Saccharomyces cerevisiae S288C: one gene and its partners. The protein of the gene in region 4 interacts with the protein of the main gene of each other region in a biochemical or structural test. Each region holds a gene or a part of one and is shown on either strand. Other genes may lie near its edges.

Region 1 (8,228 bases), on a different chromosome or scaffold from region 4:
CCAGACTGTTTAATAATTTTGCTTCTTCTGTTTCTCTTTCTTTGTCTTGTTCTTCCATACTTTCTCTCATTAATCTGGCCTTTTCTTCCTTAACTTCACGTTGTACTGCAACATAAGAACCTAAAGGTGTTTTATTCCAAGCTACATCATTCAAAAATCTTGAAACTTCAGATTTGTTTGTTGGCCCAAATTCAACATCTGATCTCTTTTCTTGGATGAATGTGCTGTTTTGGTTCAATTTTTCTACAACAGTTGATAAACGTTTGTTAAGTTTGACATTAGTTGAAGTCTTGATGTAACGGCGTAAAGAGATAATAACCGGTGTTACAAGTTCAGGAAATGCAATGTTTTTACAGTACAGAGCAAAATAATCGCCCAATAAGTCCACAAACTGTTCTGACAAACCCTCTTGGTATATTTTTGTATTCAGATAAGCTTGCGTACATTTGATGTTGTGCTCAAAATCGAAAGCAGCCAAGTTAGGGCTCTTTTTGGGTGCCTTAGTGAAAGCCGTTGAGGTTAAAATTTCAGAAAGTAAAGGATATATTGGAATAAAAACACCACTATTTTGAGAAAGTCTAATAAGTGATTTAATCAAATAAAATCTTAATGGGAAGAATTGTGGTGTTGGGATTAATCTGATTACACCCAAAGTAACCTGAACCAATGGGTAAATTAATTGTCGTAAAGGAGATTCACTGCCATTTTCCTTTTCTGGTTGACAAGCAAACGATAGTACACGAGACCAGAAATCCAAGGAGTGACAGAATTGCCAGTTGTATACAATCTTGTAAGCTTCTGCGGAATTAATTTTACTGGATTTTTTAGTTGTCGCGTTCATTGTATTTCTTAAATGAATTGCCAATTGCCTAATATACTCAAATCCAACTTGGTAACCTAGAACTTCATCGATACCGAACAATTCAGCTGCCGAATTTTTTTGAAAATTAATCAGTGGCATAGAACGCATATTCGTTTTACGACAACTTTTGATAAAAGTGGAGTACGTTGTTTTTAAGGTTGTTTCTAGCATAGACTTCTTGAACTCTTTGGTGGTATTGATCAAAAAGGCAAAAGAAGCAATCTGGGTTTCTAATTCTCTCGTTGTAGACCATACTCCAACAATTGATTTAATAAGCTCCTTTAAGATCCTTCTGTATGATAAAAGATAAGGCATCAATTCGTTGACAGAATGAAGAACTAATGCTGCTGTTTCCGTATTAGTAATATCATTCAATAAAATCAACAAAGAGCCAGCATGCGACTTGACAATGGACGAGACCCTGGAGACGTTACCTCCATTTGGTAAGGTCCTTGCGCCTTTTACAATCTTGTATGGGGCCATCTTTTGAATCGCTTGTGGTACATCTTTCAAGACCATGAACATCAATTCGTGGAATGCTTTCTCATCAGTGATAGCATATTTATAGTCTTCGATGTTTTCTTCCTTGTTCAAATTTACAGCAACCTTGAAAGCACTGATTATGTTCCTTAGTAATTTTAAGCTTGGAGAATCATGAAGTTGTTTTTTCCATTTCCTAACCAATTTCAAAGAAAGCTCAATTTTTTCCTTTTCCAGCTCCATTTGTTCAGATTTTTCTTCAATATTACTGTTTCTTTCAGCATCTTCACCTTCATCTTGACTATCAATTCCATCCAATGGATTGGTACCTGCGAAGTCCAATAAATCTTTATCATTTTCCTCCAAATACTTATAAAATTCGGGATCCTTTTCGGCCAACTTTGCCATGCTTTGTCCCATGTCTTCCTCCTCTTCGGAAGAGGAGGAATCTTCATCAGATTGCTCTTTCGTAGTTTTTTTCTTCAATTTTTTATTCTCTTTTGGAATTTCGATGCCCTTTTCAAAAAAAGTTTCGACAGACATGTCCTTAAAAACCTCTTCCTTTGCAGATTTTTTCAACTGCTGTTGTTCCCTAGTACCAGCAGCATCGGCCTTTTCCTGATCAGTTTTGTTGCCACGACGGCCTTGGATTCTCTTCTTTTGGATCTTTTCCTTTCTTCTTTGGTCTAGAGTATGCTTCAAATGCTTCGATTGAAACTTCTTGGTCGATTTAGAAACTTTACCCATCTCCACTTATTCTATTGTTGACCTTCTCTATCTCTCTTACAATTCAAAAATTAGTATAAATGAATTTACCCATGTACAAGTATTCTGTTTCTCTATTTTCTCTGTAAATATCATGCTCATCTCATCGGAAGAAAAAATTCAGAAAATTTTTCAAAACTCGTCGAAGATGATAACTACTATTTGATGTTATGGGTCAAGATACATTTAACAGAGCAATATTAACGAAGGACCTTCCTAGTAACACGTCTAATTACTTTGAACAATTCAATATGCGGGAATGTTGAATCTGTGTCATGCTCTTCGAGGCGTACGTCAGTTTTCCTGTTCTGTGATTGTGAAAGTGAAATGTGCGTCATGTTCCATAAAACTACAGGATCAGGATCCTAGTAAACCAGGATATTATACGAAGCCAAAAAGTCTACCCGACTCAAAACTAAATCCTGACCTCCAAGATCTGAAGTATTTGCTATTCAGTCAAGACATACAGCTCTCGAAACAGGCAACTCAAAATGATCCTGACCTCAAAACCAAAAGAGATTTACTATTGAGAGTGATTTGCAAAAGGTGCAGTAATGCCCTTCATCATAACAATTATAACCCGGAAGAGTTTCCCGAAAGCACATTAAATGATATTCTGAACTACGTCCCCAGAGGCTCAAATGTTATGCATATTGTCCCCTTTGTAGAATTTCCCTTACATTTAGACCCCAATGTTTTGAAACGAAATGATTTAGATACTACATTAGTGTTAACGAAAAGCGATCAAGTTTTTAAAGATAAAAATGCTGTCAGCAAAAAGGTTCCTATATTCATGAAGCAATTTTTAAAGAACACTTTAAGAATTGACTCAAATAAAACATTCGCCATATCTGCGCTGAAAAACTGGAACATATCCATGTTTTACAACTACTTTAAAAACTACACATATTTGCTAGGCAACCCTAATGTTGGTAAATCAACTTTGATCAATACTCTACTACAGAAATATCTTGGATATAAGGTTAAAATTGATTCTACTGGGAAAATTAACTCCCCCTCTGAAGAAGTGATGCAAGAAGCTTTTACGAACCCGAAGAATTTTTTCAAGATTCAAGCTGCTGGTGTATCACATATTCCCAATTTAACTAGATCCGTACAAGCCTACCAAGTTGGAGGTAAAATACTTTTTGATCTTCCAGGCTATTCAACTTCCACCTCCAGATTACGCCTAGAAGAACTAATCGACGAGCGTTGGCTTCAAAGGCTGCGAAAAACCGATTTATTCAATCGGAAGCATATAAAACAGAAGACTTATGAGTCTATGAAGGGCACATCACAGGGAGGCTGTTATACCGTGGGAGGGATTTTCTACCTGGTACCTCCGAAAGGATCCATAAATCAGATTGTGAAATACATACCAGGACCATCAAAAACATTCAAGAACATTGAAAAAGGTATTGATGTATTCAACTCGTGCAATTCATCATCTGGCACACATCCGTTATCACGGTATTGTGGAATTAAAAGCGTTATATGCGAAAAAAGCCAGTACAAAAGGTACGCAATACCTCCATTTATTGGAAGTATAGAGATCGTTCTGAAAGATATAGGATATATTTTATTAAGGACAACTGGGAGGTATGAGTTCAAAGGACTACATGAGATATGGATACCTAGGGGTATCCAAGTAGGTATAAGGGAACCGCTAGAAAACTTGATTGAGTCTGGCTACCAGCGTTACATTGAAACAAATGGTAAAGAGTCAAGCTGTCCCAGAGATAGACCGATCATCAGTTCCCTGTATGAGATGGCCCCGGATGAAGCTGATACTTTGAACGCAGTGAAGAAGTCGTATTTAGAAAAAACCGAGAAAGATTTATCTGCTAGAAGATTTGTCGACGATGATCCTTATGATTTGGTTCAACACCTAGAAAAAAAAAAGAATCCCTATTGGTACTACCAATGGTAAGACTCGCTGTTCACTTGGTTGCACCAATAAGTAGTAACGCACATGTAAATATGAATGTAAGTAAACTAAAAAGAAAGTTGGGAACAAAGTATATTCAAAAACGAATATACAGGAAATAAGCAATAGAAAGTATTATGAATTATACTGTTGATGTTTATTCTATCTACAAAACACAAATAAAGTAGAGTATAAGGCGAGTCAATAAAAAGGCCTCAACTCAAAAAAGGGAGAGAAAATGTAGGAAGGAAATGAATACTATTATACAATGGTACTGTGAACAGTAAGAATATTTTCGTAAGGTAAAAAGAAACAATAACAAACAAAAAAGGTCGAAAAAACTGTTCAAAATAAAGTCTCTATTCGAAGAAAACTGAAAAAGTGGAAGTGGAAATAAAAGATAATGTAAATAATCAGTCCAATGAATAGATCGGTTAAAGCAATTAAGCAAAAATAGTGGAAAATATAGTAAAAGTAGATAATAATTCCTTCATCTTTTCACTAAAAGATGAAAATCTTAATTGCTTATAATCATAGTGAAATCTTTAGTTTTTTAGTTAATATTAGCAAAGGCATTTTATAGTACAATTGTAAAATAATATTAGAACCATGAAAGAAAAAAAAAACAAAAAAACGATGGATAAAAAATAAGAGTGGAAAAAAAGTAACAGATTAGTGGCTCCCAGTGAGAAAATAAAAAAAATATGGGGCCAATCAACGGCTAGAGAGAAACAAACAACACAGTATTTTCAGGACTTGGATAAAAAAAGTGATTGGAGAAAGAAAATATAAGACATGCTAGAGCAGAAAACGAAGAATCCTCACCCTAGTTTGTCTGAAATCACCACCAAGAAGAGTTGTTTGAACCACCGCTGTTACCCCAGCCAGAAGACTTGGAATCGCTACCCCAGCCACTACCGCCTCTGAAAGAGTTATCTCTGCTTCTTGAAGAGCCCCAGCCGCCTGCGCTAGCGCCTCCGGCCTTACGGTAATCTCTGTTGTTGTTGCGACCGAAACCGCCTCTACGGCTGTTGCTTCTGCTACCTGGAGCACTCATCATAGCGTCCTTCAAGAATGATGGGACTTCTTGGTTAGCTTCAGTCAAAATTTCATGCAAACCTTTAACAATGTTACTGTTTTCACTGTTGAAAAAGGCAGTGGCAAGACCGGTGTTACCGGCACGACCAGTTCTACCAATTCTATGGACGTAATCATCGACATCACTTGGTAAATCGTAGTTGATAACGTGGGTGACGTTTGGAATATCTAGACCTCTAGCTGCGACAGCTGTGGCAACCAATAAAGTAGCGGCACCAGATCTGAAGGCGGCCAAGGCACGTTCTCTCTCAGATTGGGTACGGTCACCATGAATGGCGGTAGCTCTAAAGTTTTGCATGATCAGGAAATCGGTCAATTGATCTGCCATTCTCTTAGTTTCGACAAAGATCAAAGTCAAACCGTCAGTGGATGCAGACAATAGATCCAATAAGGCTGACTTCTTATCTTGATTTTCAACGTATAAGACTTTTTGAGTAATGTTTTCTGAAGTAGAACCGACTCTACCAACAGACAAAAAGATGTAGTCACTTAAGAAATCACGGGCCAAATGTTGGATATCAGCGGGAAAAGTAGCTGAGAACATCAGAGTTTGTCTTTCACCAACAGGAGTCATATCACAGTCTTCGACAATATGTCTAATTTGAGGTTCGAAACCCATATCCAACATTCTATCAGCTTCATCTAGAACCAAATACTTGACGTTGGCCAAAGAAATTTTACCACGTTCCAACAAGTCATTCAAACGACCTGGAGTAGCGACTAAAAGATCGCAACCACGTTCAATTTCTCTTAGTTGGTTACCAATTGGAGAACCACCGTAGACGACGCAGGCCTTGACCCAGGATCTATAAGTAAATTTCTTGGCTTCATCGAAAATTTGGGTGGCCAACTCTCTAGTTGGAGCCATAATGACAGCAGTTGGGTAGGCCTTTCTTTGGTAAAAGGAGCCTTGAGACTCTGGTTGAGGAGATGGTCCAGTCTTAAATGATTCGGACAACACTGGGAATAAAAACCCACCAGTCTTACCAGAACCGGTCTGCGCACAGGCCATCAAATCTCTGCCGTTGGCAACGATAGGGACGGAGTATTTTTGCACAGGTGTTGGCTTGGTGAAACGGGCCAATTTGATGTTTTCCAATAACAATCCGTCCAATGGAGGTGAGGTAAATTCTGTGATTGGTTCAGGAACATCCTTACCAGAGGCGTCCACTGGAATATCATCGTAGTTATCGAAGTTAATACCAGAAGATTGGAAATTTGGATCCTCGGGGACACCAAATATGGCGATCTCGGCCTTTTCGTTTCTTGGAGCTGGGACATGTTTGCCATCGATCCATCTACCACCAGAACGGCCGTTAGATCTGCTGCCACCGTTGTTTCCACCGAAGAAACCACCGTTGCCGTAACCACCACGACGGTTGTTGCTAAAGAAGCTGCCACCGCCACGGCCACCGTTGTAGCCGCCGTTGTTGTTATTGTAGTTGCTACTGTTATTTCTGGCACTTCTTGGTTTTCCTCTTAAGTGAGGAGGAACATAACCATTCTCGTTGTTGTCGTTGATGCTTAAATTTTGCACTTGTTCGCTCAGTTCAGCCATAATATGAAATGCTTTTCTTGTTGTTCTTACGGAATACCACTTGCCACCTATCACCACAACTAACTTTTTCCCGTTCCTCCATCTCTTTTATATTTTTTTTCTCGAGTTCAAGAGAAAAAAAAAGAAAAAGCAAAAAGAAAAAAGGAAAGCGCGCCTCGTTCAGAATGACACGTATAGAATGATGCATTACCTTGTCATCTTCAGTATCATACTGTTCGTATACATACTTACTGACATTCATAGGTATACATATATACACATGTATATATATCGTATGCTGCAGCTTTAAATAATCGGTGTCACTACATAAGAACACCTTTGGTGGAGGGAACATCGTTGGTACCATTGGGCGAGGTGGCTTCTCTTATGGCAACCGCAAGAGCCTTGAACGCACTCTCACTACGGTGATGATCATTCTTGCCTCGCAGACAATCAACGTGGAGGGTAATTCTGCTAGCCTCTGCAAAGCTTTCAAGAAAATGCGGGATCATCTCGCAAGAGAGATCTCCTACTTTCTCCCTTTGCAAACCAAGTTCGACAACTGCGTACGGCCTGTTCGAAAGATCTACCACCGCTCTGGAAAGTGCCTCATCCAAAGGCGCAAATCCTGATCCAAACCTTTTTACTCCACGCACGGCCCCTAGGGCCTCTTTAAAAGCTTGACCGAGAGCAATCCCGCAGTCTTCAGTGGTGTGATGGTCGTCTATGTGTAAGTCACCAATGCACTCAACGATTAGCGACCAGCCGGAATGCTTGGCCAGAGCATGTATCATATGGTCCAGAAACCCTATACCTGTGTGGACGTTAATCACTTGCGATTGTGTGGCCTGTTCTGCTACTGCTTCTGCCTCTTTTTCTGGGAAGATCGAGTGCTCTATCGCTAGGGGACCACCCTTTAAAGAGATCGCAATCTGAATCTTGGTTTCATTTGTAATACGCTTTACTAGGGCTTTCTGCTCTGTCATCTTTGCCTTCGTTTATCTTGCCTGCTCATTTTTTAGTATATTCTTCGAAGAAATCACATTACTTTATATAATGTATAATTCATTATGTGATAATGCCAATCGCTAAGAAAAAAAAAGAGTCATCCGCTAGGTGGAAAAAAAAAAATGAAAATCATTACCGAGGCATAAAAAAATATAGAGTGTACTAGAGGAGGCCAAGAGTAATAGAAAAAGAAAATTGCGGGAAAGGACTGTGTTATGACTTCCCTGACTAATGCCGTGTTCAAACGATACCTGGCAGTGACTCCTAGCGCTCACCAAGCTCTTAAAACGAGAATTAAGAAAAAGTCGTCATCTTTCGATAAGTTTTTCCCACAGCAAAGCAATAGTAGAAAAAAACAATGGGAAACGTTGAATGAAGACAAAGCGTCGTGGTTTAAAAGGAAATACGCTCACGTACATGCTAGGGAACAGGACCGTGCAGCGGATCCATATGGCAAGAAAAAGGCCCACGTCGAGAAGCTAAAGGAGATCAAGAATCAGGCGAAATTAAACCAAAAGAGCCATAAATCCAAGTTCCAGAATAAGGACATT
Region 2 (7,951 bases), on a different chromosome or scaffold from region 4:
GTCATTCACGCACCCGGCCTGCGCTGCGTGCACCGACTGCGTGCGTGCGTGATTGGTAATGCAGTGAATCATGCTTTTTCATGACGCCTCCTCCCCGCCCCTGAGCCTTCGGTGGCCGCCGAAGTCGGGTATTAATGGGCGCCCCTTTCCTGGTGTCCGGGAACCGCCTGCCGAAAACCACCCTCCGCAGGTCCGCGGAAGGTGGGTGTGGCTGTCCCCGCGCAAATCCGAGATCGATTCCGCGGCGGGTCGGTCATTCTTTTCATTTGCGCGCTAATATGCGCTGTGACTGGCGGTTAGTCATCTGCGTGATCAATCGTTGTCATGACGCTCTATAACGTAAGAGAACTTTAGAGGGGGCTCAATTAGCATGAAGAACAGACACATATATAAGGTCTCTAGATTTCTCCAATAGCTCAACTCTCACAATTGTTTCCTCTAGTCCTTGTAAAATATAAAAAATCATCATCAAACAAGCAACTACAAAACAGCTTTACTGACAACTCACACAAATAACACAAAAAACAAAAATTTCAACAATGGTCGCCTTTTTAGAACTAACTTCTGACGTTTCTCAACCTTTTGTCATCCCATCTCTTTCGCCAGTCTCTCAGCCAAGCTCAAGAAAGAACTCTGACGCAAACGTCGATGACCTGAATCTGGCTATTGCCAATGCCGCTCTTTTGGATGCCTCTGCTTCAAGCCGCTCACACTCCAGAAAAAACTCTTTGTCTCTGTTGTAAGTGTTGTACACGAGAATTAGCACACTATTAGCATAAAAGACACTTGGCATCTTTACTTACTTGGGCAAGTAAGTCACGTACTTTTTTTTTTTTTTCCGGAGCATTCATTGTCATTCTATCTGCACTTTCCCGCACTTACATTCAATAACCTCGGATCGGGTCTCTTCTACGACAGAAACTTTTTGATATATACATATTTATGTAATATAAATACTGAGAAAGTAAAAAAATTTAAAATATAAAATAATAAAAAATTTACTATTACTATAATTGATTAATGTAATCTTTCTTTGTTCAACCGTGCTGTTTAGCCTCCTTCTCGAGAGACACGCGTTTACCGTCGCTGTCACTACATCCACAATCGTAGTCCTCCAGGATGGTAGCACAGTCATATATGTCTTTCTTTAGGTATTCGTTCACCTTGTTGTGAATGTGGCATCCCCACATTGCGGCAGCCGTCCTGCTAGATGTCTGTACGGGATACTTCTCAATCAACTTTACAAAGTGATATGAACATTCCCCGCATGGATAGAGTTCTGCATACAACCCAATAAACGTGTGCAGTTTCTCTCTTTCTTCAGGAGTAGGCTCGTCCGGAAAACGGGCCAGCAGGGTATGGAAGTACTTCCACGACGCCCTGCCCACTTCCTTCTTCACCTTGTCATCGCCCATCAATGGCATAATGGTTTGCTTCTCGATCTCTTTCAACCGAGCGTCGTTCTTCTCAGCAGCCGCCCCTTGCACTTCATCTATACCAGACTTCGCCTTGATTAGGCCCGGCGTAGCGATGGATAGTTCATTAGACGAGAAAAACATCCACAGGCCTATGATTCCTAATGCTGCAACTATTCTGATGGCATGGCTTCTTTTGACTATCTGTTTCATCCCTTCGTTCCTTGCACAATCTGTCCAGACTTTCCTCTTTACAAATCACCAGCCTTCCCGTCTTCTTGTCTTCATCACCCACGTTTATTGTTTAATGATAAAGCCTTTTGTCCTTTATTTTTGGTTCCTTTTCCCGCTTCGTTTACCCGGTGGTTAACCTTTCTCTTCCATCTTGTAATATATAATAACAAAATGCATCACCATACTTACGCACCCCATATACATGACCTAAGGGCAGCTTTAGACACAACAGCTCCCCAGAAAAAATGTCCAAAAGAAACACTCCACCGCTCAGATCATCAGGGATAAACACTATTCAAATAAATGCTGCTAGAGAAATGCACGCTCAAACGGTGCGCGCTCGAAGAATGCCCATGCCAACTAGCGGCATCACTACACCCTCTGTGCAACCAACTGCAGCCCCAGCAACACCACCTCGACATATTTGCAATAACCCAAACAATCCGCAGTGTCTCCACTGTGGGTCTGTTATCATTCCATCTCCAAGGGCCACGTTACCCTTGGAGGACAACCCCTCCATCTCCATCAACGACTGGACCATCTCCTCCAGAAAGAAGCCCATTTTGAACTCGCAGGAATTAGACATCTGGGAAAACGAAAAACTCAAAGGTTTGACTTTGCCAGAGATGATTTTTGGTAACAACTACATCAGGATCGAAAATTCAAAACAGCATTGGTCCATAGAGTTCAATGCCCTGGATGCTTTAAAGGAGGTTCAACTCCAGGATTCAGGTATTCGTGTTGCGTACTCAAACGACTGGATAAATTCTAAAAAAAGACAAAATTCAACTAATGGTGCGCAACGGTTCACTAACGATGTGAACGACGATTCCTTAAATATCATACACAAGTACGACTGGACCTACACTACGCGGTATAAGGGCACAGAGAGCTCACCTGAGTCGAAATTCCGACTGGATAACGATCAAAAGCTGCCCCTTGACAAACTGGCCGTACACGATAAAATCCTATTCTATGACGACATGATTCTTTTCGAAGACGAATTGGCAGACAATGGCATATCAATCCTTAACGTCAAAATAAGAGTTATGAACGAAAGGTTACTGCTGCTGAGCCGGTTCTTTTTAAGGGTGGACGATGTTCTGGTGAGGGTCTACGACACCAGGATTTACGTGGAGTTTGACGAAAACGTAGTGATCAGAGAATCCAAGGAATTTGAAGGTAAATATCAGGATGTACTTGCTAAGCACCGGCTATCCCAATCTCACGACCCAAAAGCTGCCTTGAGAGATAGTAATTGGGTAGCACAGAACACGCCGATGATCAAAAGACAATGTGAAATAATTCAGTTCTAACAATCAAATATACAAAACAATACGTACAAATACATACACGTCACATATACATAAGCTCCGGATACATCATACAAGAAATGATCTTAAAATCATGCTCTTACCCGTTCTGTAAATAGTGAAAAATTTTCATCGCGAAGTATGAACGAAAAAAAAAAAAGAAAATAGATGAACTTTTAGCATTTAATTAGTGGCAAACGCCTACCCCTCCTTCCCACTTTGCTGACTTACAAAGACACCACTACATTAAAGAGTATCTCGTGTGTTCTTCTTTTTTTTCCAAAAAAAAAAACTCCTATTATTTGCATAAACACACGTTCACTGGTACAAGATGTCTATTAATATTTGTAGAGATAATCATGATCCATTTTACCGTTACAAAATGCCTCCCATCCAAGCCAAGGTGGAAGGTAGAGGTAACGGTATCAAGACTGCCGTTTTGAACGTCGCTGACATCTCTCACGCGCTAAATAGACCTGCTCCATATATTGTCAAGTATTTTGGTTTCGAATTAGGTGCTCAAACTTCCATCTCTGTTGACAAAGATCGTTATTTAGTTAATGGTGTTCACGAACCTGCCAAATTGCAAGACGTATTGGATGGCTTTATTAACAAGTTTGTTCTCTGTGGAAGCTGTAAAAATCCAGAAACGGAGATCATCATTACCAAAGATAATGATTTGGTTCGAGACTGTAAAGCCTGTGGTAAGAGAACTCCAATGGACTTGAGACATAAACTATCATCCTTCATTTTGAAAAACCCACCTGACTCCGTTTCTGGTTCCAAGAAGAAGAAGAAAGCAGCTACCGCTTCGGCCAATGTTCGTGGTGGTGGGTTGTCCATTAGTGATATTGCTCAAGGTAAGTCTCAGAATGCACCTTCAGATGGCACCGGCTCATCCACTCCACAACATCATGACGAAGACGAAGATGAATTATCTCGTCAAATCAAGGCGGCTGCCTCTACCTTAGAAGATATCGAGGTCAAAGATGACGAATGGGCGGTTGATATGTCTGAAGAAGCCATTAGAGCTCGTGCCAAGGAACTAGAAGTGAACTCTGAGCTCACTCAACTGGATGAATATGGTGAATGGATTTTGGAGCAGGCTGGTGAAGATAAGGAGAACTTACCATCAGATGTGGAGCTTTATAAGAAGGCTGCAGAACTAGACGTCTTGAATGATCCAAAAATTGGTTGTGTCTTGGCGCAATGTCTATTCGATGAGGATATCGTAAACGAAATCGCTGAACATAATGCATTTTTCACTAAAATTTTAGTCACTCCAGAATACGAAAAGAACTTTATGGGTGGTATTGAAAGATTTTTAGGTTTAGAACATAAGGATCTAATCCCACTATTACCAAAAATTTTGGTACAACTATACAATAATGATATCATCTCGGAAGAAGAAATCATGAGATTTGGTACCAAATCATCCAAGAAATTTGTACCTAAGGAGGTATCCAAAAAGGTTCGTAGGGCTGCTAAGCCATTCATTACGTGGTTAGAAACCGCTGAAAGTGACGATGATGAAGAAGACGACGAATAGCTTAGGAGGGGGCAAAAGACTTATGTGTAAATTATTATATGACATGGCGTAAGATAAGGATTATGTTCTGTTGTTTTTGAGCTCGTTGATGTATAGATATGTAAATATTTATAAATATAATATTTCTTCCAAGTGCGACATACTTGGTACTGGCAAAAAACAAAGATGAGACTTTTAAAGCCACTGATTGATTGATTAATTATTAAGTAAAAAAAAAAAAATAAAATGTCGGTGTAATTTGGCTCCACGATCGCATGCGTATACATAACATGAGATTACCGAAGATTTTTCTGAAAGGTAATGCATTATATTATAATCATTAATAGAAGTAGAGCCTAAAGCCTGTTGAAAACTTGTACAATAGAGGAAAAAAAAAGGGTCATTAATCGTCATGTTTACCTAAGAGCGTCTAAACTTTTTGGTATTCTTCTGGGGTAAACGTAAAAACATTGCACCAAGGGCAAAATTGAAAAAAAAAAAAGTTTAATAGAACAGAATGATTAAAATCATTAGCTAATATCCGTATGACCTGTAGCGGTACAAACTTGTATCATTATTATTATTATTATTACTATTATTACTATTATTATTATTATTATTATTATTATTATTATTATTATTATTGTTATTGTTATTATTATTGTTATCATTATCATTATTGTTGTAGTTATTGGTATTATTATTGTTATTATGACTCACTGAGCGGCTTAGAGGATTCATTTGACTCGAATAACCAGAATTATTATAATTGTTATTATTATTACTTACATTTGGTAAGTTAACTATAGGTAGGGATAAATTTGTTCCATTAGCAATTCTAAATGAATCAAATTGTGAATTCAATTCATCTAATCCGTTAGAATTACCGTTCTGATTTTGATTTTGATTTCCGGAGTACACCACTTGTTGATTGTTGAAGTAGGAATTTATTTCACTCATCGGGGCTGGGTTAAAGTTCAATGCTGGCGTTGGACCTGCATTGTTCATTTGTATAACGCTATTATGCCTTGAATTTGAACTTCTCACACTGGAAACAGAAACGCCTCTGGCGCGACCAGGAGAATGAAACCCCTGAGGATGCTGTTTACGATGATTCTTGGAGGATTGTTTGGGTGATATTCCTGCTGATGATAGCCCAACTTCCTCCAGTAACTGGCGACTTTGTAAATTGATATTGGAATTTAAAATCAGTTGACGAATCTTTGTTATAGCTTCATCTCTAACGCTATTGTCAAGAATTCTCGAGGTTAAAACCTTATAAATAAATGTTGGACCATAATTACCCTCATCTAGTATCTGGAACAAGATAGAATCACTAGAAATTGGACCATCAAATATTGCATGGATAATTTTATTCTTCGACAGTGCCTCTTCTTCACCACCTCTTAAATTGAGAATCTTTAAGACAGTAAGAGAGCCTAATTTATGACAACATAGTTTAACCAGATTTTTATTTACCAGTTTATCACATAAAATCAAGTTCTTGTTAGGTAAAGTGCAAGTATCCAATAGCCAAGTGATCAGTAAAGTGCCATTCGTATCCGTAGCTAGATAAGGAGAAAGCACAATTATCAGTGAAGTGATAGTCAGCAATTGGCATTGGGTAATAATGGAATCTGCTTCTAGACAAGCCCTTACAGCACGAGATCCATACCTGTTTTGAACTATTGTCCAAAAATGAGATAAAACGCTTTCAAAAATGAAACTATTCCAGGGAAAACCAAACTTTAAAATACCTTGAATAACATAATTTCCAAACTGGTCGTTGAAGAGTGGAGTACAGTAATCGCTTACACCTGAAGTTACAAGATTTATCTGCCTTGGCGTGTTTGCCATTTTGATGATCTTCTGACAAACCCAAGTACCGTTTTTGTGAACACCCATAGATGTGAGATATTTATTACACTTCCTCAACATAATATCCCTGATGATATTTGACGAGTTTTCAAACAATTTTTGAATAACGGTATTACCCAAATAGTCTGAACTTAATTCTGGTAATTGGTCCAGCATGACGATTGCCAATTGCTCCATTTCAATAGTAGATAATGAGTTCGAGTCAAACTGCTTTCTCAGTTCCCGCAATTTTGGTGCATCGAACGTATCCTTTCTCTTTGGAACTTTGGAGTTGTGCTCAGGCAGGGGACCAAAATAATTTGTATCAGACACTCCTTTATTTTTCAAGGCATTCTGCAAGAGATGATTCAACTCTAGATGATCATATTCTAACTTAAAAGAACTTATAGTGTGTAATATATCCTTTTTACTATCCGATAATGATGGTGGAGGCAACGGGAAAGGGTAAGGTTCATTTTCGTTTGAAGATAATTGCAGATGGCTCAAATTCTGAGTGGGATTACAATATGTAAGATTTGGTTGATTAAATGAAGTTGGTTGTTGTTGTAGCTCCGGCTGTTGTAGCGATTGTTGCAGCTGATAATTGAGCACCCCGTGATTCAACTGTTCTTGCAACAGCGGTTGCTTGGGAGTGTTGTTGAAGCCATTAACGTTAAGAGGTTGTTCATACATGGGTAAGACTCGCGCAAAAGATACCGTACTTGGTGCCCCTACTTTAGACAGTTCCTTACCTTGTAGAGCTTCCAAAGCACATATTGCACTTTCAACTGTGGAAAACTCTACTAATGCCATATTCAGGCCTCTTAGTGTCCTCGCAGAAAGCACTTTACCATACTGTGAACATAAAGTCGCTAAGGAAGTACTCGTCAAATTTACAGCGTTCTGTTGATGTTGTTGAGTAGGCTGTAATGGAAACACGTTTGAAATAGATATTGTGTTAGTGGGCAAAAGCGCCGATATTTGATTGACTAGTGGTACTTTTTGGTTTGCTGTAATCCAATTTATCGAGGCTGGATCGACGTCATCAAGGATAACAGGGGATATTGAAGTACTTTTTGGAACTCTAGGAGGCACTTGAACCTGGTAATTCTGTGCAGGCTGTTGATAGTAGGGCGCGTCAGTATAAACCCTGTTTGTGGTAGATTGAGATTGAGAGCGCTGCCTGTTAACTATCGGAGTATTAAGGTGGTCAGTGTTACTATTTCCTGCACTCGACCATATGTTTGGATTCCCATTTTTCTCCAGAAAACTGTTTAGTTGAGCTGTTTGAGGCAGCGTATAATTATCAGTGGACTTGAATCTAGTCAATGGCTCAAAATAAGAAGTGGCGAGAGGATAATCAAACAAAGGACTGGAAGAAGTATTACTTTCTGCATTAGCACTCCAAATATTTGCACTCGTGGCATTGCCCACATCAGTAGTCAAAGAAGAACTTGCAGTGATCTGAGAAGATACTGTGTTATTTCTTGTTCTTGTTCTGGTCGTAGTAGACTGTAATGACAGCGGAGTAGCCACCGTAAAAGAATCGCTAGACACTCTGGGAGCGTATGTCGTGGAATTTAAACTGTCTGGAGTACTGCTCG
Region 3 (7,618 bases), on a different chromosome or scaffold from region 4:
TTAAGGTTTAATGAAGGTGAAATAAAGCTGTATGATTTTATTCCTGCGGAAAAAGATTCCGTTCCATTGAAGAAGGAAGTGAGTCCGGCATTAAAGGCTGATACCAATGATATACTAGGCGATTTGGCGTCTTTGAAACAGAGAATGAGCAGTTTCGGAACAGTAGGTAAAAAAAATAAACAAGAGGAGAACAGAGCTACACCAGTAAAAAATTGGTCAAGGGTTCAAAATTGGAAACCCAAACCCTTTGGTGTCCTGTAACCTGTTTCCAATGCTCGTTATAAATACGTTGTAGACTATAAAGCTGAGTTGTATGCTGCACCCTAACGTGCATGTATATATAATCACAGTCTCTTTAACCTAATATGCAAACGAAAATGATTTAATCAAAACAACCTCATACTCTATGGGAATAATCTTTCAAGATACCGGTCATATGAGTGTTAGTAATCTTACCCTTTCTTTGTCTCTTCTTTTTAACTTCAACTCTCTTTGTTTGTCTTTTGATAGTAGCAGGATCGACACTAGCAGGCTTTAGACCTAAATCTTGCAGCTTTCTTGGCAATTCTGCAAATTGCGGTAATTGCACATTTTCCCACATTTTAACAAACTCCTCGTCAATACATTTCAAGTTACCACCGCTGTTATACCAAACGTATCTTGGAGTTTTATCCTTTTTAGTTCTTAACACCAAAATTTTGCTGTCTTCCTCCAGTTGGTTAATCGTTTCATCGCATTGTGGCCAACCGTCTTTCAAGTCTTTGCAGGAAATACCTTTGAATGTTACTTGTGAACGTAACAACTTCAGCAGTTCCGAAGGGGAATGGACATCGTAGGTGGAAAGGTATTTGAAAGTCCCCTTCTTGGGGTCAAACTCTATTCTATCTAATTTTTTTAAAAGCTCAATAACCTTGTCATCTTTTTTCATTGACAAGTAGTCCAATAACTCATTCACCAAAACGGGCTTACCTTTCTTTTGAATGTATTCAGTCGCCCAAAGCAACTTTGAAGAATCGTGACTCTTGGAAATATCTGTTTGATTTGCTTGTAAAGCGGCTGCAGCAATAGAGCCAGGCCTTACTTTTTTTGAAGGAGAGCTACCAAAATCTTCGTCGTCATCGTCGTCATCTAATGAAATAGCATTAGAGCTATTGCTCCCAGCTTCTTTCTTGATATCCACTAACACAGGATTTTTCGCAGAGTTCAAAGTGTTTTCTTGCGCACGTTCGGAGGCCGTCCTCTTCCTAGTGTTTCCATCTATAGTAATCACTGTGTCATTGGTCTTCTTCTGTCCAACTTTAGCGGGTGCGATCACCGGGGCAGACTTCACTTTGCTTTTGAAAGCGTTCAAATTAGCCAGTAGAGGGTCCCTGTTTTTACTCATCGCAAAAGACTACTCTCTTTTCCAAATCGAACGAACTACTTGGTATAAAACAGTTCTGTGTAACAGCTTTCTCGTGTTCTACAGAGCACACGGTTATGTAACTAGTTCACTTCTTATTAGCTCTTTTGCCCTGATTCGTAAGTGAACTTCTTACCCGAAGTAAGCTCGCGCTTTTCTTTTTCTTCTCGCATATAACATTTTGACTATAAAAGCCGTGAACTATAGCATTTGCTACCAGAAAGAATTTTTCTTGCCCTGGACCTTTGATGCTTTAAAAAACATTTCTCTTAAAAGAAAGCATAACAATTTGTGATGCTTTAGGGAGCCTATTGTTTGATGGTTTATAGGAGCCGGATTTGTCTTTTTGACTAATTTTCAACCTATTCTTACTTCCAAAACTGTTGCAATGGCTCTCGTTTTTTTTAAATTTTTCTCTTTTCTCTTCTTTGGCATAGTTTATTTTTAATAAATTATTTCAGGGTGAGATAGAGAAAGGATAATGAGTATCGTAGATAAATCTTCGGTTCCGAATAGTGTAACTGTTGGTGCTGAGGTAATCCATCTTTAAAACCATCGCCGTTAGAGGTTGCTTCTGATATTTTCGGTTAAGCGACCCATGAAATGGTGATGACCTGAGGTATGGAACATCTTTCTTGATGGTTACTTTGTTATATATACGTATTTATAGTATGCGGATACACGCTTTTCTCGCTATGAATCGTGTTTGAGGAAGTATTTACCGCTGCCGTCCTTCCACCATCTTCTCAGGCAGCTGATGACATTGAGATCAATATTGTCTGGGTGATTGCTATCACAAAGACATCTTTGTTGAAGTCTCAGGTAGTATGCAGATGGACACGTGCCAAAAGGCATATGCTTATAGCCTAATTCATCAAAATGGATGATTTCGTCTTTTTTCAAAAGAAGTGAGGCAGCAATCGAATGAACTGGTGCATCTCCCCACCTTTCATAGTAAAAACCGCCCTTTGAATCCAAGTACTCGAAAAATCTAATGTATTTCTCACTTCTGAAAAAGTTCAAATCGCCAATTTCAAAATTTGTCCAAAAATGACATAAATTATAGCCGCTGTTACTATCGATGACACCAAAAGATTTACCGATGAAGTCGAAATTTGATACGAACCCGAAAGCGTTGCTTTCCATGTCAATATCTGCTGACTCTGTTTCTTCGAGATATTCTTCTACAGCTTCCCATAGGCTCGGAATTGTATCTTCGTATTCATACATAGTTATCACAAAGCCATATTTCTTATTGTTCTGCCTCATCACCTTGAATGGATCGTAGGGAAAATCGCAAAAATACTCTACATCTGGCTCAACTCTGAAATAAAAATCGTACGGATCTAATATCTTTTGTCTAAAGAAAAATCCAGAATTAAATCGGCACATATTTCTATATGACTTTGACCCACCGTACAAGATATTTTTTTCCTCCATTAATTGTAAAGCCTCTTCAAATAGAGTTTCGTTGATCCAAGATGGCCTGTTCCAGTCCTCCGCAGGGATTAAAGCGTATTGCGTTCTACCACTAGCCATGGCTGTGGTGGCTTCGATGAACTCTTGATCAAATGGGACATCATTAAGAAATGTCCAGTCATACTGGTAGTTTTTATTGAAACGGTCTTCTAGTGATCTCATGGAACGGAGTGCCCCCGAAAGTTCCCAATTACGCACAAGCATTAACAATGTAGCATTTTCTCTTTGATTTTTTATTCCCTTGGTCTTGTTTAGTGGTTCATCATTATAAGTGTTGCTAGATAGCTTCAGCGTCTGATTCATATGTCGCCTCCTTGTAAAATCATATCTCGATGAAACTTCTCGAGATCTTCTAAAAAAATACGAATCTAGGCTCAGCTGTCTCTGATATGGTACAAGTGCAAGCCAACATGTTTGAGCTATCAAGCAAAATAGAAGACTAACAAAAAGTAGTTTTTTAACCTGTGTAAGAAATACCTTGCAGATTTGCATGAAGCTCCTACGCTTTTAAATAAACAACTATTGTATAGAAAAAACGCAAAAAAAGCGTTGCATGTATAGGTGTCACATACCTGAAGAGATATAAAGAATCAAGAATATCATCAGACAGGCAAATGGTGGCTTATTATGTTTATTCTATTTTTATAGGGTGTCTGTTCTTTTTTTTTTCTTTTTTTTTTTCGCTTACTAAATTTCTATAATCTTGCAAATTCTTGAAAGGAATTAAAGTTTAAAACACTTTATTAATGCTATAATTAGTTAGACAAAATCACGCTTTTTCATTGGGAGTGTTTAAATACCGTATTTAAAAGATGATGCTTTAATTTTACAATTTAATATCACTCAGATCTTCATTTTTCTGATTTTCTCTAGCCTCTGAAAACTGATATATAGGCAAACTAGTACTGTTACTGGTCTTGACAAATATAGATATTATTCCTCCTTTAATGACGCCGCCTTGCGGTCTCTTACTTTTATCAGTGAGAAAGTTTATTGTATCTTGGATGTTTTGCAAAATTTCTGGTATGGAGTGTTTTTGAATATAACCGACCCTGACGCTTAAGCAGTTGTCATTATTGGGAATGTATGAGGTATTCTTACATATACTTCTCAATTGTGCTCTCACGTAAATGGGGTCACATTTTTCGACCATTTGTTGACGCTTCAATTTTACTTCTTTCGACATGCGGATCATGTATGGCAATTTTTTACTACCGTGATAAAATCTGCTACCAAGAACCTCCGGAAGTAAGTGGTGAACTCTGTAATCGGCAACGACCAAGTCAAAATCTTTATAAAGTTGGGTCAGTTTACTCCCTTTGAATCTACGTCTCAAGTTCTTGACACTTATAATTTCCTTGAATAATTCCGACGTATGCTCGTCTTTCGTCAAAGTTTCTCTATACAAGGCAGAGGGATCCTTGGTAATGAGTAATATGTTTAGGTCCCTTGGTTTAAATAGCTTGTACTTTGTTAATGGAATAATACGGGGGATGTTGTCCCTGTTTATGCCCATTTTTTTGCCCGTGTTGATGATTATGTGTATGTCCTTATCATTTTTTAAAGATGGGTTCTCTTCACATTGTAAAATTAGAGCCTTTAGTGCTTTCTCTGCCAGCCCACTTTTTATAATATCATTTGACTCAACCATCCCAAACCTCGAGATATAGCGTTTGATGTACACTTTTTCTTTTCAGCTCCAATCTCTATTAGTAGGGCATCGATTTTTTTTTTTTTCCTTTTATATATATTATTTTTTATAAATTTGAAAAATTTCAGATAGATACGTTCGGATATATACAAAAAGACAAAGCAAACAATTAGTATAGGGTATTTCAACCTTCGTGCCGAGAGTCTTTTGGACTTTGAAGAATAATAGGAATGTAAAAAGAAAAACAAATTAAATACAAAAAGCATATATAACTTTTTAGAAATATATGTTACGTTATCAAGATAGCCTCACAAGATACTTTTTTAAGAAGTTTTTGTCTCCCTTAGTTCAACAAAGTAGCGATGTCGGATGGCAATTCTTCAATTTGAGTGGAGTAGAACTTTTCTAGTTCTCTCATAGCGCCAACGTCTTCGTTAGTAACAAAGTTGATGGCAACACCCTTTCTACCGAAACGACCACCTCTACCGATTCTGTGAATATAGTTTTCTTTGTTAGCTGGTAAGTCGTAGTTAATAACCAAAGAAACTTGTTGGACATCGATACCTCTAGCCAACAAATCAGTGGAGATCAAAATTCTGGAAGAACCACTTCTGAATTCCTTCATGATGGTGTCTCTTTCTTGTTGTGGTAAATCAGAGTAGATGGCAGAAACGGTAAATTTGTCGTTTCTTAACTTAGTGGTCAATTCTTCGACCTTTCTTCTGGTGTTACAGAAGATGACAGCTTGAGTAACGGAGATAGAGTCGTATAAATCGGTCAAACACTCGTATTTGTATTCTTCTTCTTCAACATTAACGTAGAATTGTTTGATACCTTCCAAAGTCAATTCATCCTTCTTAACCAAAATTCTAACTGGGTTTCTCATAAATTTGGTGGTAACTTCCAAGACGTCATTTGGCATGGTGGCGGACAATAGAACAACTTGAGTGGTTGGTGGAAGTAAGGTGAAAATTTGGTAGATTTGTTCCTTGAAACCAGAAGACAACATTTCATCAGCTTCATCTAAGATGAACATCTTGATCTTGTCAGTTCTGAATCTACGTCTTTGGATGTTGTCAAAAACACGACCTGGAGTACCAACGACGATTTGAGCATCTCTCAAACCTTCAGCGTCTTCAACAAAGGAAGTACCACCGATACAAGCGTGGACCTTGATGTCCATGTGGAAAGCCAAAGCCATGACAACCTTTTGGATTTGCAAAGCCAATTCTCTAGTTGGAGCCAACATCAAAGCTTGAGGAGCCTTGACAGAGGTGTCAATTCTTTGCAAAGCAGCAATGGAAAAGGTACCGGTCTTACCAGTACCAGATTGAGCTTGAGCCAAGACATCGTGACCTTCAATAATAGGCATGATGGCACGTTGTTGAATGGCAGATGGTTCTTCGAAACCGTAACCGAAAACACCTCTTAACAAGTTTTCGTCCAATTCCATATCATCGAACTTGTAGACAACCTTGTCATAGTTGGTTTGAATTTGGGATTCTTCAATATCAGTAATACCTTCAGACATCTTGTATATAATTAGAAGGAGGCCGTTTAACGAATTTGTTATAAAATAAGAAAAGAAAAGACTAGAGACCAAATAAAAAATCTACAAATGTCAGGGCTGCGTATATTCATACCTTTGTTCTGTGATGTTAGCTCAAGTTCTTAGCACATCATTCAATAGACGAGGTGAGAATGCAAAAATTTTTCAGTCACTATAAACGTTGTGAGGTGAGAAAAGATAAACAGCAAGCATCGGATGTTGTTGCTGATAAACCTTTAAAGTAAATTTCGAGTTTGAATGTATATAGAATAGTTATGCATTTTTGTATAGTCGAAAAGGTCTTTACATAGATATGTCTTTTAATTTTCCTAATATGTGCGTGGAAGTTTACTCTACTGCATACTCAAAAATATCATCAGGGAAACACCTCTCTACTTTGGATAGATAATCAGAGTCCTCCCAGTCAAATTTGAAGTTGGGCATTTCTTGTTGCGGTTGGTTGGTTTCCTCTGCTGTAAGTTTCATATCCTCCTGTTTATCTGCAACTGCACTCGTCTTCGTTTCTCCTTCGGTAGCATCTCTTGCATCGTCATCAAAAAATTCTTCTTCGTTATCGATTGCATTTGACTCGTACACGTCCGGAAGAAATTCTTCATAACCTTCCTTGTCTTTTTCTAAGTACTGTATATTGTCATCAACAGAGGTATGTGGTTCTACGTCGTCTGGTAAGTCATTAGTAGAAACACTTGGTTTTTGTATATTGTCAGTTGACCTTTTCTGTTCTGGATTTGAAGGGCTAGATTCGACACTGATATTATTTTCTTTAGAATTGCTAAAATTTTTGCCATCTGGTTGATTACTTACATTGTTATTGGAAGAAGCGGCCGTGCTTATATCATCGAGGTGGCTTTCTTCTCCAGAATTTGAAGCGTTATCTGTCGTACTATCCTCCTCTTCTGCATTTTGGTGCTCATCGCTATCAGCTTGAGTACTCACAACGCTATAAGAGCTGTTTAGTTCCTGAGTACTATTTGGAGGACTTTCTTGGTCGCGGTTTGAACTGCTATTGATTATATTGTTATCATTCTCTTTCGAATATTCTCTGCTTTCATTTACTGGCTGATTAGTCAAGTGATCTTTGTTAATAAAGGTTGTTAACCACTTGGTAAAATCCAATGGGACAGGGTTAGGAGCAGGGCTATGATCCGAGTTAGGAACAGGCTCGGCGTTCTGGTTGTCCACGTTTTCTTCCACTGTACTAATTGTGTCGATCTCTTGATTCGTAGTGGGTTCGTTCGATGGAGGGGCATCCACTGGGGTTATCGTTTCAGGAGTCTCAGTTTTATCGGAATCACTAATCTTTGGCTTCGAAACTTCGTTATTTAATTGATGTTCTTCCTTAAATTCCTCGTATACCTCATTCCATTGATCATGATACTCGTTTTTAATGAAATTCTTTTGGGACCACAATGACCATGGCTTGTGTTTCCCAATGAAATGAATCAACTTAATGCTAGGTTTAAAGTAATTCATAGCAGGTGAAGATTGGTAGCCTAAATTAGGAATAGTTACGTTA
Region 4 (9,565 bases):
CGGTCCTTTCCTTTCGTGGCCTCTGTAAAAAAAAGGACAAATGGTGAAGCAGTAGCATGATTAAATCGAAATATGAAGTTAAAGCCGTCAGCTAATAAATGATATAAATATACAAAACTATACATATGCTGAGTGGTCTATTATATAAAACATATCGTAAACGAAGACTGGCGAAGCTATAAATAAAAATACAGAAAGGCATTGACATATAGAACAAGATAGGAAAAAAAAGCACAGTAAGAGGATTACCCATTAAAATGCATCAAACTTGTTTATAGCTTTTAGTGAAAAGAAATGAGCCCATTAATCGAGAAAATATAACAATGGTAAATTAGGGACACTTTTTTTTTCTTCTCCATGCATATATTTTCAATTAATAGCGCAGGATTAAACGTAAGATTAAATTTGTGTTGTACTATTAATTTATTATTTTATTAGACTTTCTACCAACATCCTTGTATCCAAGTGACATTTTCGATACTTAACATGATCTATTCATGTTACTCTTCGTCATCACTTTCTCCCATTAATGCACTGAACATATTTGTTGCGGTAGAAGTTGGTGCAGCTGGTTCTTCCTTTGGAGGAGGAGCCCTTTGGCTATTTCTTTGAGAATATGTTCTGGTTGTGATAAAGCTATCTTTTGATGCAGGAGGAGCGTCCCTTCTGAAAGAGTGTCTATTACTGGAGTTGTTCGTACGTCTTGAATTAGATCTTGAATTATTCTTCAATTGACGTTGTCTCTCCTCTTCCTCATGAATCTGTTGAATGGTCTTAGGACCGTTGTCCTTCTTATCACTGTTCCAGTTCTTGTCGTGCCTTAATTCTTTAATGTCGATCAACTTGAACTTGATTCTACTAGAAATCTTAGCAGTTTGAATAATATTGTCTAAAATACCGAACAAACTATCGAGCAATTGCGAACCCTCCAATGTTGCTTGACCCGTTCTGAAACTATCGGTCTCAAATTGTTCACCAACAGTATTTAACAATTCAACAACGGACTCTAGAGTTTCTTCAGATGGAGAATCCGTCAAATCCTTCATTAGTCTACGGAAACATTCGAACATCATCTTTCCAGTCAACAGATTCAGACGGTATAGGAAACCGATGAAACGAACCAAACCTAAACCTCTTCTCTTAGCAGAAGCAGCTGCATAGTACTCTTCTGACATCATCTCAGGTTCTAATGGAGTACCATCTTCGTTTGTGGGTAATTTATCGGTCCAACCCTTGTCAAATTCGGCATGACATCTAGCAACCAAGTAATGCAAAACCAATTTTGGACCTGTCTTACCTTCATTAGTTTCATCTGTTATATCTGGGTTTAATTCTTTAACTACTTTACCACATAATTGCGCGTACATAGAAGACCAATGGGGTTCGTCACAGGCCTTTAAGAAAATCTGTTCTATCACAGCCTTTAACGTTTCACCATTTGTTTCCCATACTGATATGTTTGCAATAGCCAAAATTTCAGATGAAATAGCATCGAACATTTCCAAAGTAAGTTTATTCAGTAGTGACTTCATCTTTCTTTCAACTTCATCCTTGTCCAATAGTTCGGTCTTTCCGTCAGGGGCTAGCTTCTTTTCAGTCTTTTTAGACTTGAATTTTGGCACCCACCTATTAGCACTTGGAACAAGTGGAGCAACTTCTTCCTTTGGTTTATCGTCCTCTCTTTTCTCTTCATTTCTGTAGGAGCCTCTCTCGCGGTCTCTTCTTGATGTATAAGATCTATTAGATCTCCTGTCGTCATTCATTCTCTTTGATCTTCTCTTTGATGAAGTTCTTGAATTAGCTCTGTCATCCATATTTCTCACTGAGGTATTTCTAAAGTCATGGCCACGACTAGAATTATTGCCGAATCTGCCAGAATCTCTAGATCTATTTCCTCTGCCCATTCCTGGTGGAATGACAATTTTAGAAGCAGTGCTTTGGACCCATTCGGCGTCCGCTTTGACGTTTAGTTTGTCCTTAAATTGAAGCAAGAAAGTTGGGCCATATGTATATTTGACGTGTTCTTTCTTGTATTTGATATCAGGACCTTCAATACCTTCTGGATAGTTAAAAGAAAAGACATCTTCAATTGGTGTAGCATCTTTCAATACATTCAATATGTGAGAAACGGTGTTTGTACCATCATCAGTTTCATCAGTTGTAGTTTCGATTTCAGCTTCAAGTCCAATCTTTGTTCCAGCATCACCTGCTTCAGCCTCAACTTCAGCTTCAGCTTCATCAGATTTAGTAGGGATAGCCGGAGTTGTTGCAGATTCATCAATGTTTGACTGTTCGGTTTCGGCGACCTCAGTTTCTTCTTTAACCTGTTCACTGGGAGGCACAGGAGCAGACTCGATGGCGCTCTTAGTCTCTTCCTGTACTGGCACTTCCTTGTTTTCCTTCCCCTCCGTTTTTTCTTCTCGTTCTTTTTGTTGTTTCTTCAACTTCAAACGTTCAGCAAAGGTTAACACCTTTGGAGTGGATTCTTCCTTTATTTGGCCCTTTTCTCCTTGTTCACCTTCTTCAGCTGGAGTTTCTTGCTTAACTTCTGGCTCAGCAGATTTTTCTTCAGCAGGCTTGGTTTTTTCGGTTACCTCAGGTTTGTCCGATCCCTTCTCTTCCACATTTTCTGGGGTAGTCTTCATTGGAATATTATTGTTGCCACTAGAACCTTCAAGTTGCTCCTTTCTCTTCTTTTCTAAAGCAGCTTTACGAAGTTTAACTTGCTCGATGAAATTTCTTCTTGTCTTTTCAGCTTCAGATATATTTTCTTCAGAACTGGCCTTAGAGTCATTAGTGGAAGGGGTAGGAGTTGGAGTAGAAGTAGAAGTAGAATCAGAAGTTTCTTTTAACTTTGACTCTGGTTGCGGAGACACAGTAGATCTTTCCTGAGACTGTAGCTTGGCTTTATGCTGTTCTTTCAAATCTAAGTGTTCACCAGACTTGGTAGTGATTTCTATCTTAGTTGGAACAGGTGACTTCTCTTCGACAGGAATTGGATTAGCAGGGGCACTACCAGCGGCCGCCATTTGCTGGGGCTGGTAGTAAACGGGGTAGTTATTATAGTAACCAGTCCATGGCACGTTTGAGCTGTTGGCTCCCATGTGTCCACCTCTGAAACTACCGCCACCATTATAGTTGCCACGGTTGTTATATCTGTTTGGTCCAAATTTACCACCTCTTTGCTGATGAGGTCTGTTGCTGTTGTAAGGCTTCTTTTGGGTATAGTTGCTACCATTGTTGTAGTTGGTGTAGCCACGTTGTTGCTGAGATTCCTGCTGGTCATCGCCTGTCTGTTTCAGAGCAGCAGATTCCTGCTTTGAAGCAGATTGTGTCGGGTGAGCAGTTTCGTCTGTCATTATTGTAATAGGTAATTACAGTTGTCCTCTTACCTTGCTTATTTATGAGCAAGAAGGAGTAAAGTAAGAAGCTTTAAGAAATTGAAGGGAAGAGGAAGAATCATAATTAAGTAAATTATCACAATATCAAGATTGGTAAAATTTCAAGCAACATATTGAAATTCCATCTACCATCCATCCGTTGCACACAGAGAACGCGGCATCGAAAATTTTTCTTGAAAAAAAAACTTTTGTCAGTGAAACAGTACGAGAAAAAAAAAAAATAAAAAAAAAGCTATAATTGAAAAAGGACGCACAAAAATACGGTGAAAAAGAAAAAAAAAATCGTTTCTCACGTCGTTATCGAGTCGCGATGAGGATAGCGCCCATCATATGATCATCCCATTACGATGGAAGTCTGCCATCATGATGTCCAAGAGGGTCCTTAAAGCTATTAGTAAGTAAAAAAAAACTGTTGTTCCAGAGATATTGAAAAAAGCCTTATTAATGTAATCTTCAAAAAATGATTTCGCCCAGGATCGAACTGGGGACGTTCTGCGTGTTAAGCAGATGCCATAACCGACTAGACCACGAAACCACTCTTATTGGAAGATTGATCCAATTAAAGGGGAATAGGTCACATGAAACGACGACAACTATGCTGGTTATTACCTAGAGGGATAATTGCAAGCTAGATCTTGAAACGAACAGAGGAAAAAAGCTAAAGTAGTAACAACAACCAATATATGTATATATGAAGAGAATGTGGATTTTGTTGGAATAAAAATCCACTATCGTCTATCAACTAATAGTTATATTATCAATATATTATCATATACGGTGTTAAGATGATGACATAAGTTATGAGAAGCTGTCATCGAAGTTAGAGGAAGCTGAAGTGCAAGGATTGATAATGTAATAGGATAATGAAACATATAAAACGGAATGAGGAATAATCGTAATATTAGTATGTAGAAATATAGATTCCATTTTGAGGATTCCTATATCCTCGAGGAGAACTTCTAGTATATTCTGTATACCTAATATTATAGCCTTTATCAACAATGGAATCCCAACAATTATCTAATTACCCACATATATCTCATGGTAGCGCCTGTGCTTCGGTTACTTCTAAGGAAGTCCACACAAATCAAGATCCGTTAGACGTTTCAGCTTCCAAAATTCAAGAATATGATAAGGCTTCCACTAAGGCTAACTCTCAACAGACAACAACACCTGCTTCATCAGCTGTTCCAGAGAACCCCCATCATGCCTCTCCTCAACCTGCTTCAGTACCACCTCCACAGAATGGGCCGTACCCACAGCAGTGCATGATGACCCAAAACCAAGCCAATCCATCTGGTTGGTCATTTTACGGACACCCATCTATGATTCCGTATACACCTTATCAAATGTCGCCTATGTACTTTCCACCTGGGCCACAATCACAGTTTCCGCAGTATCCATCATCAGTTGGAACGCCTCTGAGCACTCCATCACCTGAGTCAGGTAATACATTTACTGATTCATCCTCAGCGGACTCTGATATGACATCCACTAAAAAATATGTCAGACCACCACCAATGTTAACCTCACCTAATGACTTTCCAAATTGGGTTAAAACATACATCAAATTTTTACAAAACTCGAATCTCGGTGGTATTATTCCGACAGTAAACGGAAAACCCGTACGTCAGATCACTGATGATGAACTCACCTTCTTGTATAACACTTTTCAAATATTTGCTCCCTCTCAATTCCTACCTACCTGGGTCAAAGACATCCTATCCGTTGATTATACGGATATCATGAAAATTCTTTCCAAAAGTATTGAAAAAATGCAATCTGATACCCAAGAGGCAAACGACATTGTGACCCTGGCAAATTTGCAATATAATGGCAGTACACCTGCAGATGCATTTGAAACAAAAGTCACAAACATTATCGACAGACTGAACAATAATGGCATTCATATCAATAACAAGGTCGCATGCCAATTAATTATGAGAGGTCTATCTGGCGAATATAAATTTTTACGCTACACACGTCATCGACATCTAAATATGACAGTCGCTGAACTGTTCTTAGATATCCATGCTATTTATGAAGAACAACAGGGATCGAGAAACAGCAAACCTAATTACAGGAGAAATCCGAGTGATGAGAAGAATGATTCTCGCAGCTATACGAATACAACCAAACCCAAAGTTATAGCTCGGAATCCTCAAAAAACAAATAATTCGAAATCGAAAACAGCCAGGGCTCACAATGTATCCACATCTAATAACTCTCCCAGCACGGACAACGATTCCATCAGTAAATCAACTACTGAACCGATTCAATTGAACAATAAGCACGACCTTCATCTTAGGCCAGAAACTTACTGAATCTACAGTAAATCATACTAATCATTCTGATGATGAACTCCCTGGACACCTCCTTCTCGATTCAGGAGCATCACGAACCCTTATAAGATCTGCTCATCACATACACTCAGCATCATCTAATCCTGACATAAACGTAGTTGATGCTCAAAAAAGAAATATACCAATTAACGCTATTGGTGACCTACAATTTCACTTCCAGGACAACACCAAAACATCAATAAAGGTATTGCACACTCCTAACATAGCCTATGACTTACTCAGTTTGAATGAATTGGCTGCAGTAGATATCACAGCATGCTTTACCAAAAACGTCTTAGAACGGTCTGACGGCACTGTACTTGCACCTATCGTGAAATATGGAGACTTTTACTGGGTATCTAAAAAGTACTTGCTTCCATCAAATATCTCCGTACCCACCATCAATAATGTCCATACAAGTGAAAGTACACGCAAATATCCTTATCCTTTCATTCATCGAATGCTTGCGCATGCCAATGCACAGACAATTCGATACTCACTTAAAAATAACACCATCACGTATTTTAACGAATCAGATGTCGACTGGTCTAGTGCTATTGACTATCAATGTCCTGATTGTTTAATCGGCAAAAGCACCAAACACAGACATATCAAAGGTTCACGACTAAAATACCAAAATTCATACGAACCCTTTCAATACCTACATACTGACATATTTGGTCCAGTTCACAACCTACCAAAAAGTGCACCATCCTATTTCATCTCATTTACTGATGAGACAACAAAATTCCGTTGGGTTTATCCATTACACGACCGTCGCGAGGACTCTATCCTCGATGTTTTTACTACGATACTAGCTTTTATTAAAAACCAGTTTCAGGCCAGTGTCTTAGTTATACAAATGGACCGTGGTTCTGAGTATACTAACAGAACTCTCCATAAATTCCTTGAAAAAAATGGTATAACTCCATGCTATACAACCACAGCGGATTCCCGAGCACATGGAGTCGCTGAACGGCTGAACCGTACCTTATTAGATGACTGCCGTACTCAACTGCAATGTAGTGGTTTACCGAACCATTTATGGTTCTCTGCAATCGAATTTTCTACTATTGTGAGAAATTCACTAGCTTCACCTAAAAGCAAAAAATCTGCAAGACAACATGCTGGCTTGGCAGGACTTGATATCAGTACTTTGTTACCTTTCGGTCAACCTGTTATCGTCAATGATCACAACCCTAACTCCAAAATACATCCTCGTGGCATCCCAGGCTACGCTCTACATCCGTCTCGAAACTCTTATGGATATATCATCTATCTTCCATCCTTAAAGAAGACAGTAGATACAACTAACTATGTTATTCTTCAGGGCAAGGAATCCAGATTAGATCAATTCAATTACGACGCACTCACTTTCGATGAAGACTTAAACCGTTTAACTGCTTCATATCATTCGTTCATTGCGTCAAATGAGATCCAAGAATCCAATGATCTTAACATAGAATCTGACCATGACTTCCAATCCGACATTGAACTACATCCTGAGCAACCGAGAAATGTCCTTTCAAAAGCTGTGAGTCCAACCGATTCCACACCTCCGTCAACTCATACTGAAGATTCGAAACGTGTTTCTAAAACCAATATTCGCGCACCCAGAGAAGTTGACCCCAACATATCTGAATCTAATATTCTTCCATCAAAGAAGAGATCTAGCACCCCCCAAATTTCCAATATCGAGAGTACCGGTTCGGGTGGTATGCATAAATTAAATGTTCCTTTACTTGCTCCCATGTCCCAATCTAACACACATGAGTCGTCGTACGCCAGTAAATCTAAAGATTTCAGACACTCAGACTCGTACAGTGACAATGAGACTAATCATACAAACGTACCAATATCCAGTACGGGTGGTACCAATAATAAAACTGTTCCGCAGACAAGCGAACAGGAGACTGAGAAAAGGATTATACACCGTTCACCTTCGATCGATACTTCCTCATCAGAAAGTAATTCACTACACCACGTCGTTCCTATCAAAACGTCAGATACCTGTCCTAAGGAGAATACAGAGGAATCTATAATTGCTGATCTTCCACTTCCCGATCTGCCTCCAGAACCTCCTACCGAATTATCAGACTCCTTTAAAGAACTTCCACCGATCAATTCTCGTCAAACTAATTCCAGTTTGGGTGGTATTGGTGACTCTAATGCCTATACTACTATCAACAGTAAGAAAAGATCATTAGAAGATAATGAAACTGAAATTAAGGTATCACGAGACACATGGAATACTAAGAATATGCGTAGTTTAGAACCTCCGAGATCGAAGAAACGAATTCACCTGATTGCAGCTGTAAAAGCAGTAAAATCAATCAAACCAATACGGACAACCTTAAGATACGATGAGGCAATCACCTATAATAAAGATATTAAAGAAAAGGAAAAATATATCGAAGCATACCACAAAGAAGTCAACCAACTATTGAAAATGAATACTTGGGACACTGACAAATATTATGACAGAAAAGAAATAGACCCTAAAAGAGTAATAAATTCAATGTTTATCTTCAACAGGAAACGTGACGGTACTCATAAAGCTAGATTTGTTGCAAGAGGTGATATTCAGCATCCTGACACTTACGACTCAGGCATGCAATCCAATACCGTACATCACTATGCATTAATGACATCCCTGTCACTTGCATTAGACAATAACTACTATATTACACAATTAGACATATCTTCGGCATATTTGTATGCAGACATCAAAGAAGAATTATACATAAGACCTCCACCACATTTAGGAATGAATGATAAGTTGATACGTTTGAAGAAATCACTTTATGGATTGAAACAAAGTGGAGCGAACTGGTACGAAACTATCAAATCATACCTGATAAAACAGTGTGGTATGGAAGAAGTTCGTGGATGGTCATGCGTATTTAAGAATAGTCAAGTAACAATTTGCTTATTCGTTGATGATATGATATTGTTCAGCAAGGACTTAAATTCGAATAAAAGAATTATAGCAAAACTCAAGATGCAATACGATACCAAGATTATAAATCTAGGTGAAAGCGATGATGAAATTCAATACGACATCCTTGGCTTAGAAATCAAATATCAAAGAGGTAAATACATGAAATTAGGTATGGAAAACTCATTAACTGAGAAAATACCCAAATTAAACGTACCTTTGAATCCAAACGGAAGAAAACTTGGTGCCCCAGGCCAACCAGGTCTCTATATAAACCAGCAAGAACTAGAGCTAGAAGAAGATGATTACAAAATGAAGGTACATGAAATGCAAAAGCTGATAGGTCTAGCATCATATGTTGGATATAAATTTAGATTTGACCTATTATACTACATCAACACACTTGCACAACATATACTATTTCCGTCCAAGCAAGTGTTAGATATGACATATGAATTGATACAGTTCATATGGAATACGAGAGATAAGCAATTAATATGGCACAAAAGCAAACCTGTTAAGCCAACAAATAAATTAGTTGTTATAAGCGATGCCTCGTATGGTAACCAACCGTATTATAAATCACAAATTGGCAACATATATTTACTTAATGGAAAAGTAATTGGAGGAAAGTCCACCAAGGCTTCATTAACATGTACTTCAACTACGGAAGCAGAAATACACGCAATAAGTGAATCTGTCCCATTATTAAATAATCTAAGTTACCTGATACAAGAACTCGACAAGAAACCAATTACCAAAGGATTACTAACCGACAGTAAATCTACAATCAGTATAATTATATCCAATAATGAAGAGAAATTTAGAAACAGATTTTTTGGTACTAAAGCAATGAGACTGAGAGATGAAGTATCAGGAAATCA

What was found.
Region 1: the proteins of TIF4631 (region 4) and DED1 form a complex in vitro, tested with the Saccharomyces cerevisiae proteins (4 studies listed by BioGRID).
Region 2: the proteins of TIF4631 (region 4) and TIF5 form a complex in vitro, tested with the Saccharomyces cerevisiae proteins (2 studies listed by BioGRID).
Region 3: the proteins of TIF4631 (region 4) and TIF1 form a complex in vitro, tested with the Saccharomyces cerevisiae proteins (6 studies listed by BioGRID, with this or other methods).

The regions. Positions count from the first base shown.
Region 1 is NC_001147.6:721,373-729,600, reverse strand, and holds DED1 (DEAD-box ATP-dependent RNA helicase DED1), read right to left. Parts: upstream 6,691-8,228; coding exon 4,876-6,690; downstream 1-4,875. Other genes in the region: mRNA-binding ribosome synthesis protein NOC2, read right to left, coding at 1-2,089; GEP3 (Gep3p), read left to right, coding at 2,367-4,037; imidazoleglycerol-phosphate dehydratase HIS3, read right to left, coding at 6,993-7,655; MRM1 (Mrm1p), read left to right, coding at 7,893-8,228. UniProt on the Saccharomyces cerevisiae protein: ATP-binding RNA helicase involved in translation initiation. Remodels RNA in response to ADP and ATP concentrations by facilitating disruption, but also formation of RNA duplexes.
Region 2 is NC_001148.4:645,411-653,361, forward strand, and holds TIF5 (translation initiation factor eIF5), read left to right. Parts: upstream 1-3,293; coding exon 3,294-4,511; downstream 4,512-7,951. Other genes in the region: SPO24 (Spo24p), read left to right, coding at 540-743; ERV2 (flavin-linked sulfhydryl oxidase), read right to left, coding at 1,038-1,628; IRC16 (Irc16p), read left to right, coding at 1,426-1,785; TIP41 (Tip41p), read left to right, coding at 1,895-2,965; PUF2 (Puf2p), read right to left, coding at 5,025-7,951. UniProt on the Saccharomyces cerevisiae protein: Catalyzes the hydrolysis of GTP bound to the 40S ribosomal initiation complex (40S.mRNA.Met-tRNA[F].eIF-2.GTP) with the subsequent joining of a 60S ribosomal subunit resulting in the release of eIF-2 and the guanine nucleotide.
Region 3 is NC_001143.9:553,432-561,049, reverse strand, and holds TIF1 (translation initiation factor eIF4A), read right to left. Parts: upstream 6,064-7,618; coding exon 4,876-6,063; downstream 1-4,875. Other genes in the region: rRNA-processing protein LAS1, read left to right, coding at 1-261; transcription factor TFIIE subunit TFA2, read right to left, coding at 398-1,384; mannosyltransferase KTR2, read right to left, coding at 2,096-3,373; UTP30 (Utp30p), read right to left, coding at 3,708-4,532; glycogenin glucosyltransferase GLG1, read right to left, coding at 6,430-7,618.
Region 4 is NC_001139.9:817,853-827,417, reverse strand, and holds TIF4631 (translation initiation factor eIF4G), read right to left. Parts: upstream 3,360-9,565; coding exon 501-3,359; downstream 1-500. Other genes in the region: YGR161C-C (gag protein), read left to right, coding at 4,403-5,725. UniProt on the Saccharomyces cerevisiae protein: Component of the eIF4F complex, which interacts with the mRNA cap structure and serves as an initial point of assembly for the translation apparatus.